Linked DNA regions of Macaca fascicularis. The protein of the gene in region 2 interacts with the protein of the main gene of each other region in a pairwise test. Links are inferred from orthologs where the notes say so. Each region holds a gene or a part of one and is shown on either strand. Other genes may lie near its edges. The genes, in order: ELOA, GMCL1 and CUL3.

Region 1 (3,648 bases), on a different chromosome or scaffold from region 2:
GCGCCCTGGCCCTTGCCAGACTCTAAAGGCCATACTCAGTCATAACTGCCTCACAAATAGCCAAACCAGTAAACATCACGTCTACCCCTAATCTGTCCAGTGTAGAAACAGGTCTAAGGTGGCTCTGCAAGTACTGCCTAAGGAGGGCCAGCCTGCCTCCTGAATGGTTAATCTGAGCATAGCTGCTGCTCAAACCAGGACTCCTACCCTCCCATAGGCCCTGCAATTAATACAGAATAAGACTTAAGTTAGGACATCCCCTTAGGATACTGGGGATAGTCTATGGTAATAAAGTTAACAAAATACAAAATAGACGCAACTGGATATAAAGAATAAATATTTGGAAAACCCAGCTGGGCACGGTGGCTCACGCCTGTAATCCCAGCACTTTGGGAGGCTAAGGCAGGCGGATCACGAGGTCAAGAAATTGAGACCATCCTGGCTAACACGGGGAAACCCTGTCTCCACTAAAAAATAGAAAAAATTAGGCAGGCATGGTGGTGGACACCTGTAGTCCCAGCTACTCAGGAGGCTGAGGCAGGAGAATGGTGTGAACCCAGAAGGCGGAGCTTGCAGTGAGCTGAGATCGTGCTACTGCACTCTAGCCTGGGTGACAGAGCAAGACTCCGTCTCAAAAAAAAAAAAAAAAAAAGAGAGACAGCGTCTGTCATCCAGGCTAGAGTGCGGTGGTACAATCTAGGCTGACTGAAGCCTCGACCTCCTAGGCTCAAGTGATACTCCCACCTCAGTCTCCTGAGTAGTTGGGACTACAGACATGTACCACTATGCCCAATTTTAAAATTTTTTGTAGAGAGAGGGTCTCGTTATGTTGCTCAGGCTGGTCTTGAACTCCTGGGTTCAAGGGATCCTCCTGCCTCAGCCTGCCAGAGTGCTGGGATTACAGGCATGAGCCACCGCACCTGGACTCACTATAATTATTTAAAAGATATAGTGCACTATGGACAAAGCAGAGGGAAGGAGGGACTGACATTCAGACCAGCTATGTGCAAGGCATCATGCACATGCAACATGCAGTCCACAAAATGTAATACAGTGAATAATGACATTGAGAGTTAAAAACTAGTTCTGAAATAATATTTGAGCAGGAACTCCAAGTTACTTACTCTTCACAGTGGGTTTCCTAGGATCATAGGAAACAGTGCTGCTGACCACTGGTGCCAAGTGGGCACTGCTGGTGCTTGGGCCATCATAGGCCGGCTCCTCAGGGCTGGGGTTAAAGCTGTTGCTACTGGCGGAAGCATGGCTGCTTCCCGTGGGGTACGGGGCTGGCTTAATCCTGCAACACAGGACAACACTGGTTAGTCATGAGCACAAGAAATCTGCCCTGAGCATGAAGAGCCTGAAGCTGGCCCGTGTGAGGATGACTTACCCTGTTTGTGGCTTTGACCAGTGGACCCTAGCACCCTGGATTCTGGTGGTGGCTCAGAGGTGTCTGCATTATCCTTTCAGAATAAATGATAATCTCAACTAACTTTTCACTGTTTTGGTATAAATCTGTATTTTGAAAATGCTAATGTGGCTTAGACAAAATAACAGTCATTGCAGAAATGTGTTTTTTGTTTAGATGAGAAAAGGGAAAGCATAAGGGAATGTTTCCCATAAGTCAGGCTTTGCTCTCCATTTAATCTTGACTACCCTAGGGCAGGAGAAATTATCACCTTGCACTGCAGTCCAAGAAGCAGAGGCTGAGGGAGGTGAGGGAAGTGCTGAGCTGATGAGGTCTGCCTCCAGAGTCCACCTTCTGCACTGCCTTGCTTTCACCAAAAGCAATTTGCTTCCTGCCGCTATGGCTACCTCTTAAGGGTTGATAGCACACAAAAGCCAGGTAAGAACACAGTTCTTACTTGATTTTCTCAGGGACAGCTGCTCCTCCAGTTCCAAACTTTTCCTGCCTCCTCCGGACGTCACGAGGTGGCTTGGCCACAGAGTTGACAAAGGCCATCTTTGCTTGTCGGCCTGTAGAATTATGGAGATGAACATCTGCCTTCTTGAGCAGAGACGCTACTGTTATTTAAATAATCCACGGGGTTTTCCACTGCCCTGAAACCCCACTATAGGGTAGCATGGGCTGTGGCAGAAGAAATACCCACCCTGCTACCTGATGTAGGGGCCAGCAGTCCCACACCAGCCAAGCCCACCAAGACCCTGCTATTGACCAGAACACTCATCCTGCCAGTTCTACCCCAGCTCTCCCGTCTCTGTTACCTTTGGGCTTATTGGCATGTGCGAATTGGATGTTCTTTGTTAGTACTCGTAGCCGCTGCTCTCGGGCATCCTGAAGCCGCAGGTACATCTCTCGCCACGACTCATATTCTTCGGGTCTTTCTTCCTTAAAGTCTCGGTGACAGTGAACTTTCCATAATTGATCTGTTTCTTCAATTAATACCTGAAACCAGAACCAGGACATCATTTATGTACAAGCACTTTTATGTACAAGCACTATCTTTTTTTTTTTTTTTTTGAGACAGAGCCTTGCTCTGTCGCGTAGACTGGAGTGCAGTGGTGCAGTTTCGGCTCACTGCAACCCCTGCCTCCTGGGTTCAAGCGATTCTTGTGCCTCAGCCTCCCAAGTAGCCAGGACTACAGGTGCTTACCACTATGCCCAGCTAATTTTTTATATTTTTAGTAGAGACGGGGTATCGCCATGTCGGCCAGGCTGGCCTTGAACTCCTGACCTCAAGTGATCCACCCACCTTAGCTTCCCAAAGTGCTGGGATTACAAGCGTGTGTCACCACGCCCGGCCCCATATCTTTTTCTGATTCTTTAATTACCTAGGAGTGACCAGTTTCCTAATAATTTTTTGGTCTTTGTCGTAGTAGTATGTTAAAATACCACAATTCTAGGAAAAAATAACTCACTAAATTTTAAAAATGCTAAGTGTGAGGCACTAGGCTAGCTGCTTTTGGTGGCTGTGACAGGATATCACAAAAATTAGTGTAAGATCAGTCTTTTCCTTTAGAAAATCAGCAAAGGGTAGAACTGTGATCAAGTCCAATCAGGTACTTCCCACAGTTCAGTATGCTGAACTGTGATGGCAGGGGGCAACCTAAGAAAGATGTTAAGTTATTGGCCAGACGCAGTGGCTCATGCCTGTAATCCCAGCACTTCGGGAGGCCAAGATGGGACATCACTTGAGGCCAAGAGTCTAAGAGTCCATCTCTCCGAAAAATAAAAATATTAGCCAGGTGTGGTGGTATGTGCCTGTAGTCCCAGCTACTTGGGAGAATCACTTAAGCCCAGGAGTTCAAGGATGCAGTGAGCCATGATTAGGCTACTGTACTGCAGAGTCTAAGCAACAGAGGTAGACCCTGTCTCAAAAAAAAAAAAAAAAAAAAAAAAAAAAAGATGTTAGGTCAGAGAACTCTCAGAATTAAAGAGAGATAGCTGATGCAATCAAATGTGTATACCTATATCCTAAGGAGGATTTCTGGATAGATCTTGATGTCTCTTAAGAGACATCCAGTCAATCACCAGATGTCAGTGTCAACACAAAGTGCTTTACCCACCCTGGGTCCCAGCTGCTCTGCTGCCAGAATTCTCCCTTGACCTTCATGACTAGGCAAGCTCAAGGGAGGTGTTAAAAGTGCTTTTCTTCTCCCTTTGAATCCCACCATGATCCTAACCAA
Region 2 (3,683 bases):
ATATCTCCAATTTACATATAAGGAAAATAAGGCTATTAAGTGCAGAATACAGACAAGAAGTCAGATTTTTTTTTTTTTTTTTTTGAGATGGAGTCTCACTTTGTCACCCAGACTGGAGTGCAGTTGTGCCACCTCGGCTCACTGCAACCTCGCCTCCCAGGTTCAAGCCATTCTTCTGCCTCAGCGTACCAAGTAGCTGGGATTACAGGCGCCCGCCACCACGCCTGGTTAATTTTTATATTTTTAGTAGAGACAGAGTTTCGCCATGTTGGCCAGGCTGGTTTTGAACTCCTGACCTCAGGTGATCTGTTTGCCTCAGTCTCCCAAAGTGCTGGGATTATAGGCATGAGCCACTGCGCCTGGCCAAGAACTCAGAATTTGAACTCTTAAAACTATGCCACAGGTTGGCAACGGTGGCTCACACCTGTAATCCCAACACTTTGGGAGGTCAAGGCAAGAGGATCACTTGAACCCAGGAGTTCAAGGCCAGCCTGGGTGGGCAACAGAGTGAGACCTTGTTTCTACAAATAAAAAAATTAGCTGGGTGTGGTGGTGCATGCCTGTGGTCTCAGCTACACAGAAGGCTGAGGTGGGAGAATCGCCTGAGTCTGTGAGGTCGAGGTGGAGTGAGCCATGATCCCACCACTGCATTCCAGCCTGGGCGACAGAGCGAGACCCTGTCTCAAAAAAGAAAAAAAATTTTCCAAAAAAAAAAAACTATGCTACACTGACTCTTCAAAAAGGTTACAGGGTCAGGCATGGTGGCTCACACCTGTAATCTGAGCACTTTGGGAGGCTGAGGTGGGAGGGTCGCTTCAGCCCAGGTGTTTGAGACCACCCTGGGCAATATAGTGAGACCCCTGTCTCTTTAGAAAAAAACTCCAAAAATCAAATAAACAACAAAAAAAGTTACTGAATAGTATTCACAGTAGGGGTCCATTTTTGTAAATAAATAAAAATATTCATAAAAAAAGGTACAAAAGGTTTTATAAACCAAACTATTGAGTTTTTAATCTATGATTCCTTTTTTACAATATGCAACACTTGTATAGCAAAACCTTTTTGAATCTGCTCATAAAGTTTAATTTTACGCTGGGTGCGCAGTGGCTCACGCCTATAATTCCAGCACTTTGGGAGGATGAGGCCAGCAGATCACCTGAGGTTGGGAGTTTGAGACAAGCTTGGCCAACATGATGAAACCTGTCTCTACTAAAAATAGAAAACATTAGCCAGGCATGGTGGTGCGTGTCTGTAGTCCCAGCTACTCGGGAGGCTGAGGCACAAGAATCGCTTGAACCAGGAAGTGGAGGTTGCAGTGAGTTGAGATCGCACCACTGCACTCCGGCCTGGGTGACAGAGCAAGGCTCTGTCTGAAAAATAAAAAAAGAAAAAGAGGCCGGGCACGGTGGCTCAAGCCTGTAATCCCAGCACTTTAGGAGGCCGAGATGGGCGGATCCCGAGGTCAGGAGATCGAGACCATCCTGGCTAACACGGTGAAACCCCGTCTCTACTAAAAAATACAAAAAACTAGCCAGGCGAGGTGGCGGGTGCCTGTAGTCCCAGCTACTCGGGAGGCTGAGGCAGGAGAATGGCGTAAACCCGGGAGGTGGAGCTTGCAGTGAGCTGAGATCCGGCCACTGCACCCCAGCCTGGGCGACAGAGCAAGACTCCGTCTCAAAAAAAAAAAAAAAAAAAGAAAAAAAGAAAAAGAAATCATTAAAAAAATTTCATCTGTGACCCTACCAAATCACCTTTAAAAACAAAAGCAGAAAAACCAAATTGTTTGTGTAAGAATATATTCTACCCATAAACTACATTCCAATTCCAGGTCACAAGTCAATATTCCATCTTTCAACTCATCAAAAAAAAAAAAAAAAAAAAACAGGTAAGCAAGCTGCAGCAGCACCGCCCTACATACAGTACATCCACGGTCAACGACATCAACTGCTAGAAACTTGCACAAACTCTGTTCCTGGTTAGGAACAAATGTACACTATTGATAAACTTCACCTTTACGATTAACGAGAACTCCTGTGTGCAATTATTTCCCCTCCACTGAGTGGGCGACAGTAAGAGTGCCCATTTCAGAGATTACATTTAGTGTCTGTACTAAAGCAACCGGATGCAAAACAACTTAGTCTGCGGCTACCCACTTGAGAGGGCAAAGGTGGACTGGTAAGGCCAGCCAGTCGGGCGTCTCTAAGGTTTAACGAGACGCGAGCTCGGGCTTGGCGTTTCTCATCCTCATCTTGGGGCTGTAACAACACCCTGGAAGCGTCTGTGGTTAAAAATGCAGAACACCAGGCGTCTCCCAAGGCGCTCCCCCGTCCGCCCGGCATCGGGCCGGCTTCCACATTCACTTGTCAAGGGCACGACCCCTCTTCATAGGCTGGGGAGCGCTGCACCCCGCAAGCGCACCGGGCGCCGGCTCGGCCCCAGGCCCAACAGGTGCGGGTCCGGGTCCGCGCGAGTGCGTGCCCCCACGTACCTTCGAGGGGTGTTGAGGAGCCGCTGCTGCTCGTCCCCCTCCTCCTCATCCTCATCCGTCTCCGAGTCAGGGTGACAGTAGCAGAAGGCCCCGCTGCTCCGCTTGCGCTTGTGGCTGCCCGGACAGTAACAGAAGCCGTGGCCCGCCGCATCGTCTCCAGTGTCCGGCCTCCGGGCCGAGCCCCCCGCCCTGGCACCCTGCGCCTGCTGGGCAAGGGCTCGTCTAGGCTGGCGCAGCACCCGGCTGCTCAACGATCCCATGGGTCACGGCTCCCCGAGACTTCAGGGAGCCCAGAGAAGGGGGTCTCCCGCCATGGCCCGGCCGCCGCCGCCAGCCTTCCCCGAGCGCAGATGCCTACACCGCCACCTTCTCACGCGCAGCCCCAACCGTTGCAGCGGACGCTACAGCCTCCATCCTCCGCCCCGCCCGCAGCTTCTGGTCGCTCCGCGCGCTAGCACCGCAGAACCTCGCCCCCTCGCTTTCGTAACAAAGCGCGCGCCGGCGGGCGCATGCGTGTGGCGAGCCTCCGGAAGGGGCGGGGCAAGGCAGGCGTGCGTGCGTGGCAGGTGGAGCCTGCGCACAACGCGGCGTGCTCGTACGGGCGGGTGTTTTCGGGCCTGCGGTGGGCCTGGCTTCCAACTAACGTGAACTTAGGCGTAGACGCAGTGTTAAGCCGTAGTTCACACACGCCTTTGTAGTGGCAAGACTTGGAACTTCAGTCGCGCATTCTTTCTACAAAGGTGCCTTGAGCCCCCGGTGCTTATGGGCCTGTGCTAAGCAAGTGGCAAAACCCCGAAGCTATTTGGTCTCCTTGCGGGAGCTCGGCGCTTGCTGGGGCCGCGCTCTGCTTTGTTGGGCGTGGCCTCCTGTGAGAGGGGCCCTAGGATGAGGCGCTATGCTGGATTCCTGGGCTTCCTTAACTGTAGCCCTACCCTGCTGTAGACGTGAAAGGAACCCGTTAAGTTATGGGAACGTTCCCGGCACTCCTTTTCTTTCCTATCAAGTGCCAGTGGGATGTCCGAATAGGGTCTGGCACCATGACTGTCCGTACTCAAAAAAGTGCCTTCAGGAGGCCCTAGCAAAATTGACAAGTGTCTGCCTGGAGGAGCTGCTCTTGTGATGGACTCCGGACAGCGAGCGTTCACTCCCTGACTCCCTTCTGTTACTTTTTAAGTAAAATAATAAAAATATTTCT
Region 3 (3,748 bases), on a different chromosome or scaffold from region 2:
AGTTCCTCCACATTTTAGCAAAAAATCTTATTCAGAACGTAAGACTTCAAGAATTGAGTAGTGTAAGGCCGCAAACACTCCTAGAAAATCTGTTGTATAGGCCGGGCGCGGTGGCTCACGCCTGTAATCCCAGCACTTTGGGAGGCCGAGGTGGGTGGATCATCTGAGGTCGGGAGTTCGAGACCAGCCTGACCAATAGGGAGAACCCTCGTCTCTACTAAAAATACGAAATTAGCCGGGTATAGTGGCGCCTGCCTGTAATCCCAGCTACTCAGAGGCTGAGGCAGGAGAACCGCTTTAACCCAGGAGGCGGAGGTTGCTGGGAGCTGAGATCGCGCCATTGCACTCCAGCCTGGGCAACAAGAGCGAAACTGTCTCAAAAAAAAAAAAAAAAAAAGAAAAGAAAAAGAAAACCTGTCGTATAAAACTATTAACTTCATAAAATTCTAAGTAGTTCTAAACTCTAAAGTGATCAGAATTTAGTAGGAAAATTAATATTAATCACAAATTCATAACCCAGCTCTGTGCCCAATCATAAGGGAAAACATACTAGTAAGCTTCGTTAGTACTCTATTGTCAACATTTCTCATGTTTACTTAGAAAAAAGTTCGAAACATTCCAAAAATCTTTAATTATTATCAAAACACTTAATTCTCCTAAATACACCGTACCTATTTACACAAAGCAGAGGTTTTCGCACACTGATTTTAGTATTTATGTTCTTGCAATTTCAGAATTCTGCATGAGCTGTATCCTTTTAAATTTTAGGAATTCAGAGAGGTCCTCATGTTCTCTGAGACTAAATTACTTGACTCAACTGGGGCAATCATATTAATATAAGTATTTTCTCAGGCAACTGCACTTCAGGAAAAGCTCTCTTTAAAAAGTGACAACAAACTTCCCTCTTTCGCCTGCACATCATACGAAGTATTTATGAATCTAAGAAGGGAAGACCAAGATCTTTCTCTAATTTTGTTTTTTAAAATCTTCTGTCCGATTGCTAGTTCGTCTGTCTTGACGTACGCCTTTTATTGTAGCGACATAGGCAAGTATGTCCAGTTTGTTAACAACAATACATTTTAATTGCTTGCCATAGTGTGGACGAACCAGATATGACACCCAAAGTTATACCCTATATGCTAAACACCACAAGGCTACGACACAACGTAATGCCAAAAAAGAAAAGGTTTCTGAACACAACACGTTTGCTGTCACTGAAAGTGATGAAAGAAAGCAACTCTGCAAGGCGACTACACTCATTCTTTGGGCTCCCAAGGCTGAGAAATGGAGAACCAATTGTCCGGTTTGATCTCTGTTGCTTCCTCCCACCCGGCCTTCCTCCGAGTGGCGAGGCAATCCTGCACAACAGTTTGTAAAGTGTTTAGGAGGCTTGTAGGATGAAAGACGCTAGAAATACACCCAATGTTACTAGTTTATGACCACTGAGCATTCCGTGGAACCACTGTCACTGCTTCGGGGGCAGGTTGATGGCACAGCCCCGCCTGGGGAGGGGGGCAGAGTGAGAGGGCAGCCCCTTCATCACCCTACAAGCTAGACTGGGTAATTTTTGAAAGTGTAACGAAACCCCACGTGAAAAGTTCCACACACGCCCCACACAGGGAGGACTTCGCCGCTGCTAACAGCGCCGGAGCCTGGGCCTACAACCCCAGCAACGTGGGGAGGCGTGGGGCGGCCGAGGGGCCCCGGCCGCAGCCGACGCCCGTGGAGCGGCTCAAGAAGCAACTCCCGGACGGGGGCGCGGCGCCAGGCCCGGACTCCCGGCGCGGGGAACGGCCCGGGAGGGCGGCCGCGCCGGGGCCCCGCGCCGCCCGGTTGCCGGGAAGGCTCGCGCCCCGCGGCCGGCGAGCGTGGGGGAGGGGAGGCCGGGCCTGCGGCCTGTTGGGGGACTTCAGCCCGGGCCTCGCGTGCGGCTCTCGGCCCGGCCCCCGGCCCCGGGGTCCCGGACGCCGAGGAGAGACTCACCGGAAAGGCCCGGATCCGCATCTTGGTGTCCTTCCGGCTGCCCGTGCCTTTGCTCAGATTCGACATGGTGCTCGTCCCCTCCCCGGCGGCGGCTTCAGGTCGCGCTCCGCGACGCCGGTGTCACATTTAAGGCGGGCAGGCAGGCGAGGGGCGACGCTGGGGGCGGCGCGGCCCCCGGGCAGGGCTGGGGAGCTGGCCGGCCCCTGGGCAGCCGCGGCGGCGGCGGGGGCGGCGGCTCGGGCTCCGGCTGCTCCGACGCGGCTGGGGGGCTGCGCTGGCGCGGTGGCTCCGCAGGGTCCCCCTCACGCCCGGCTCTGCTCCCTTTATCGCGCTCCTCCGCGATGGCGGCGGCGGCGGCGACGGACAAACATCTCACTGCGCAGGCCGAACGTCGTCCTCCTCCTCCTCCTTCTCCTCCTCCGCCTGAGCGAGACGAGATCCGGCCCAGAGGGTGGAGGGGGGAGGAGGGAGGGAGGAGAGCCGGAGAGTGAGAGATGCCGGGGGAGGGAGGTGGGAGGACGGGAGGGGGAGCCCGGCGGCCGCGGCGGGGACGCTCAGATCTCGCGAGAAGAGAGCGAGCGCGCTGCCCTGGTGGGGCGGGGCGAAGCCCGGGAGCGGGAGGGCGCCACCGGAGGGGAGGAGGGGAACAGGGAATTGAGGGAAGTGGGAGGGACCGGCGGGGCGGGGAAGCGGAAAGGGGGCGTGGCTGAGGGCGGGAGGATTAAGCTGCCTTTTTGAAAGAGGAGCGCCAGGTCCCGGATTCTGGGCGGAGGTGGTTGCTGATTGGTGGAACTCGAGGCGGCGGTTGGGAGGGTCCTGGTCACGTGGGGAGAGTGGGCGGGGGAAGTTCGGAGAGCGGGAGCTGGATTGTAGTGGGCTGGGCCCCACTGAGCTGGGATGGCAGGAGGATAGTCTTGGGGAGTAGCGTGGGGTGCTGGATGCATAACTACGTCCCGAACTGGTTCCTGTGTTTTTCTAGGGCATGTGGGCTAGGGATGGGTACTTGAGCAGAAGCCAGCAACTTGAATGAAGAGTCTGTGCAGGAGATACCTGCAGTGTCGGAAATGACTGTCCTGTATGCTCAACAAGGTATTCGGACTGAGGGTGTACACCACAGCTCTCAGGACTGGAGGGTGGAAATTTAATCTACAGAGTTACCTTAAACTGCATAAACCTCAGGACCTCTTGATTCACTGTTATTTTCTGGTGGACCCAGGGCTTATTAATGTTAAAACCTGTTTTTCATTACCATCAGAATAAACTGACAGCTCCATTAATGAAATGCAGCATTTGGTAAATGATGTTAAGTGGAATGATAGATACCTAACTTTAACCTACCAGATAAATCATTTCTAGCATTACCAAGAGTATTGTAGATTTTTAAAGCCAAAATTACCGTCTGATTCAGTTGCTGTATATTTGAAAAGGTTTTGGCTTTTGGTTTTTGGGGAGAGGCGTTTGGTCGCTTTATAGTCAAAATGTCTAATTTGACTCATCGGTTTTGCTGTCCATTTATTATGAATTGTACTTCCTCATTTACCTACTTGCCCAATTGCTGTTATGTTTGGGTTTCTGACTCTGCAAGGGAATATGTGAGTTCCAACTAAAGTTTGTGTTCTTCCTATTTTAAAGAAGCATCTGTTTGGGGGATGGATAGCTACATTTAGAAGCTGGTATTTTAATACTTTTACATAACAAACTTAATATAAAGTGAAATACACTTATTTGTTGACTATAAGGTTGAATTTGCCCTAAATTAACTTAA

The links.
Region 1: the proteins of GMCL1 (region 2) and ELOA interact in binary tests that used the Homo sapiens proteins (3 or more experiments, as listed by UniProt). The two-hybrid records come from large-scale screens. The link is inferred for Macaca fascicularis from reciprocal best matches to the Homo sapiens genes GMCL1 and ELOA.
Region 3: the proteins of GMCL1 (region 2) and CUL3 interact in binary tests that used the Homo sapiens proteins (3 or more experiments, as listed by UniProt). The two-hybrid records come from large-scale screens. The link is inferred for Macaca fascicularis from reciprocal best matches to the Homo sapiens genes GMCL1 and CUL3.

The regions. Positions count from the first base shown.
Region 1 is NC_088375.1:211,358,894-211,362,541, forward strand, and holds part of ELOA (elongin-A), read right to left. Parts: intron 2,408-3,648; coding exon 2,227-2,407; intron 1,978-2,226; coding exon 1,866-1,977; intron 1,298-1,865; coding exon 1,125-1,297; intron 1-1,124. UniProt on the Homo sapiens protein: SIII, also known as elongin, is a general transcription elongation factor that increases the RNA polymerase II transcription elongation past template-encoded arresting sites.
Region 2 is NC_088387.1:52,113,755-52,117,437, forward strand, and holds the start of GMCL1 (germ cell-less protein-like 1), read right to left. Parts: upstream 2,926-3,683; 5' UTR 2,749-2,925; coding exon 2,489-2,748; intron 1-2,488. UniProt on the Homo sapiens protein: Possible function in spermatogenesis. Enhances the degradation of MDM2 and increases the amount of p53 probably by modulating the nucleocytoplasmic transport.
Region 3 is NC_088386.1:120,534,107-120,537,854, forward strand, and holds the start of CUL3 (cullin-3), read right to left. Parts: upstream 2,418-3,748; 5' UTR 2,050-2,417; coding exon 1,984-2,049; intron 1-1,983. UniProt on the Homo sapiens protein: Core component of multiple cullin-RING-based BCR (BTB-CUL3-RBX1) E3 ubiquitin-protein ligase complexes which mediate the ubiquitination and subsequent proteasomal degradation of target proteins.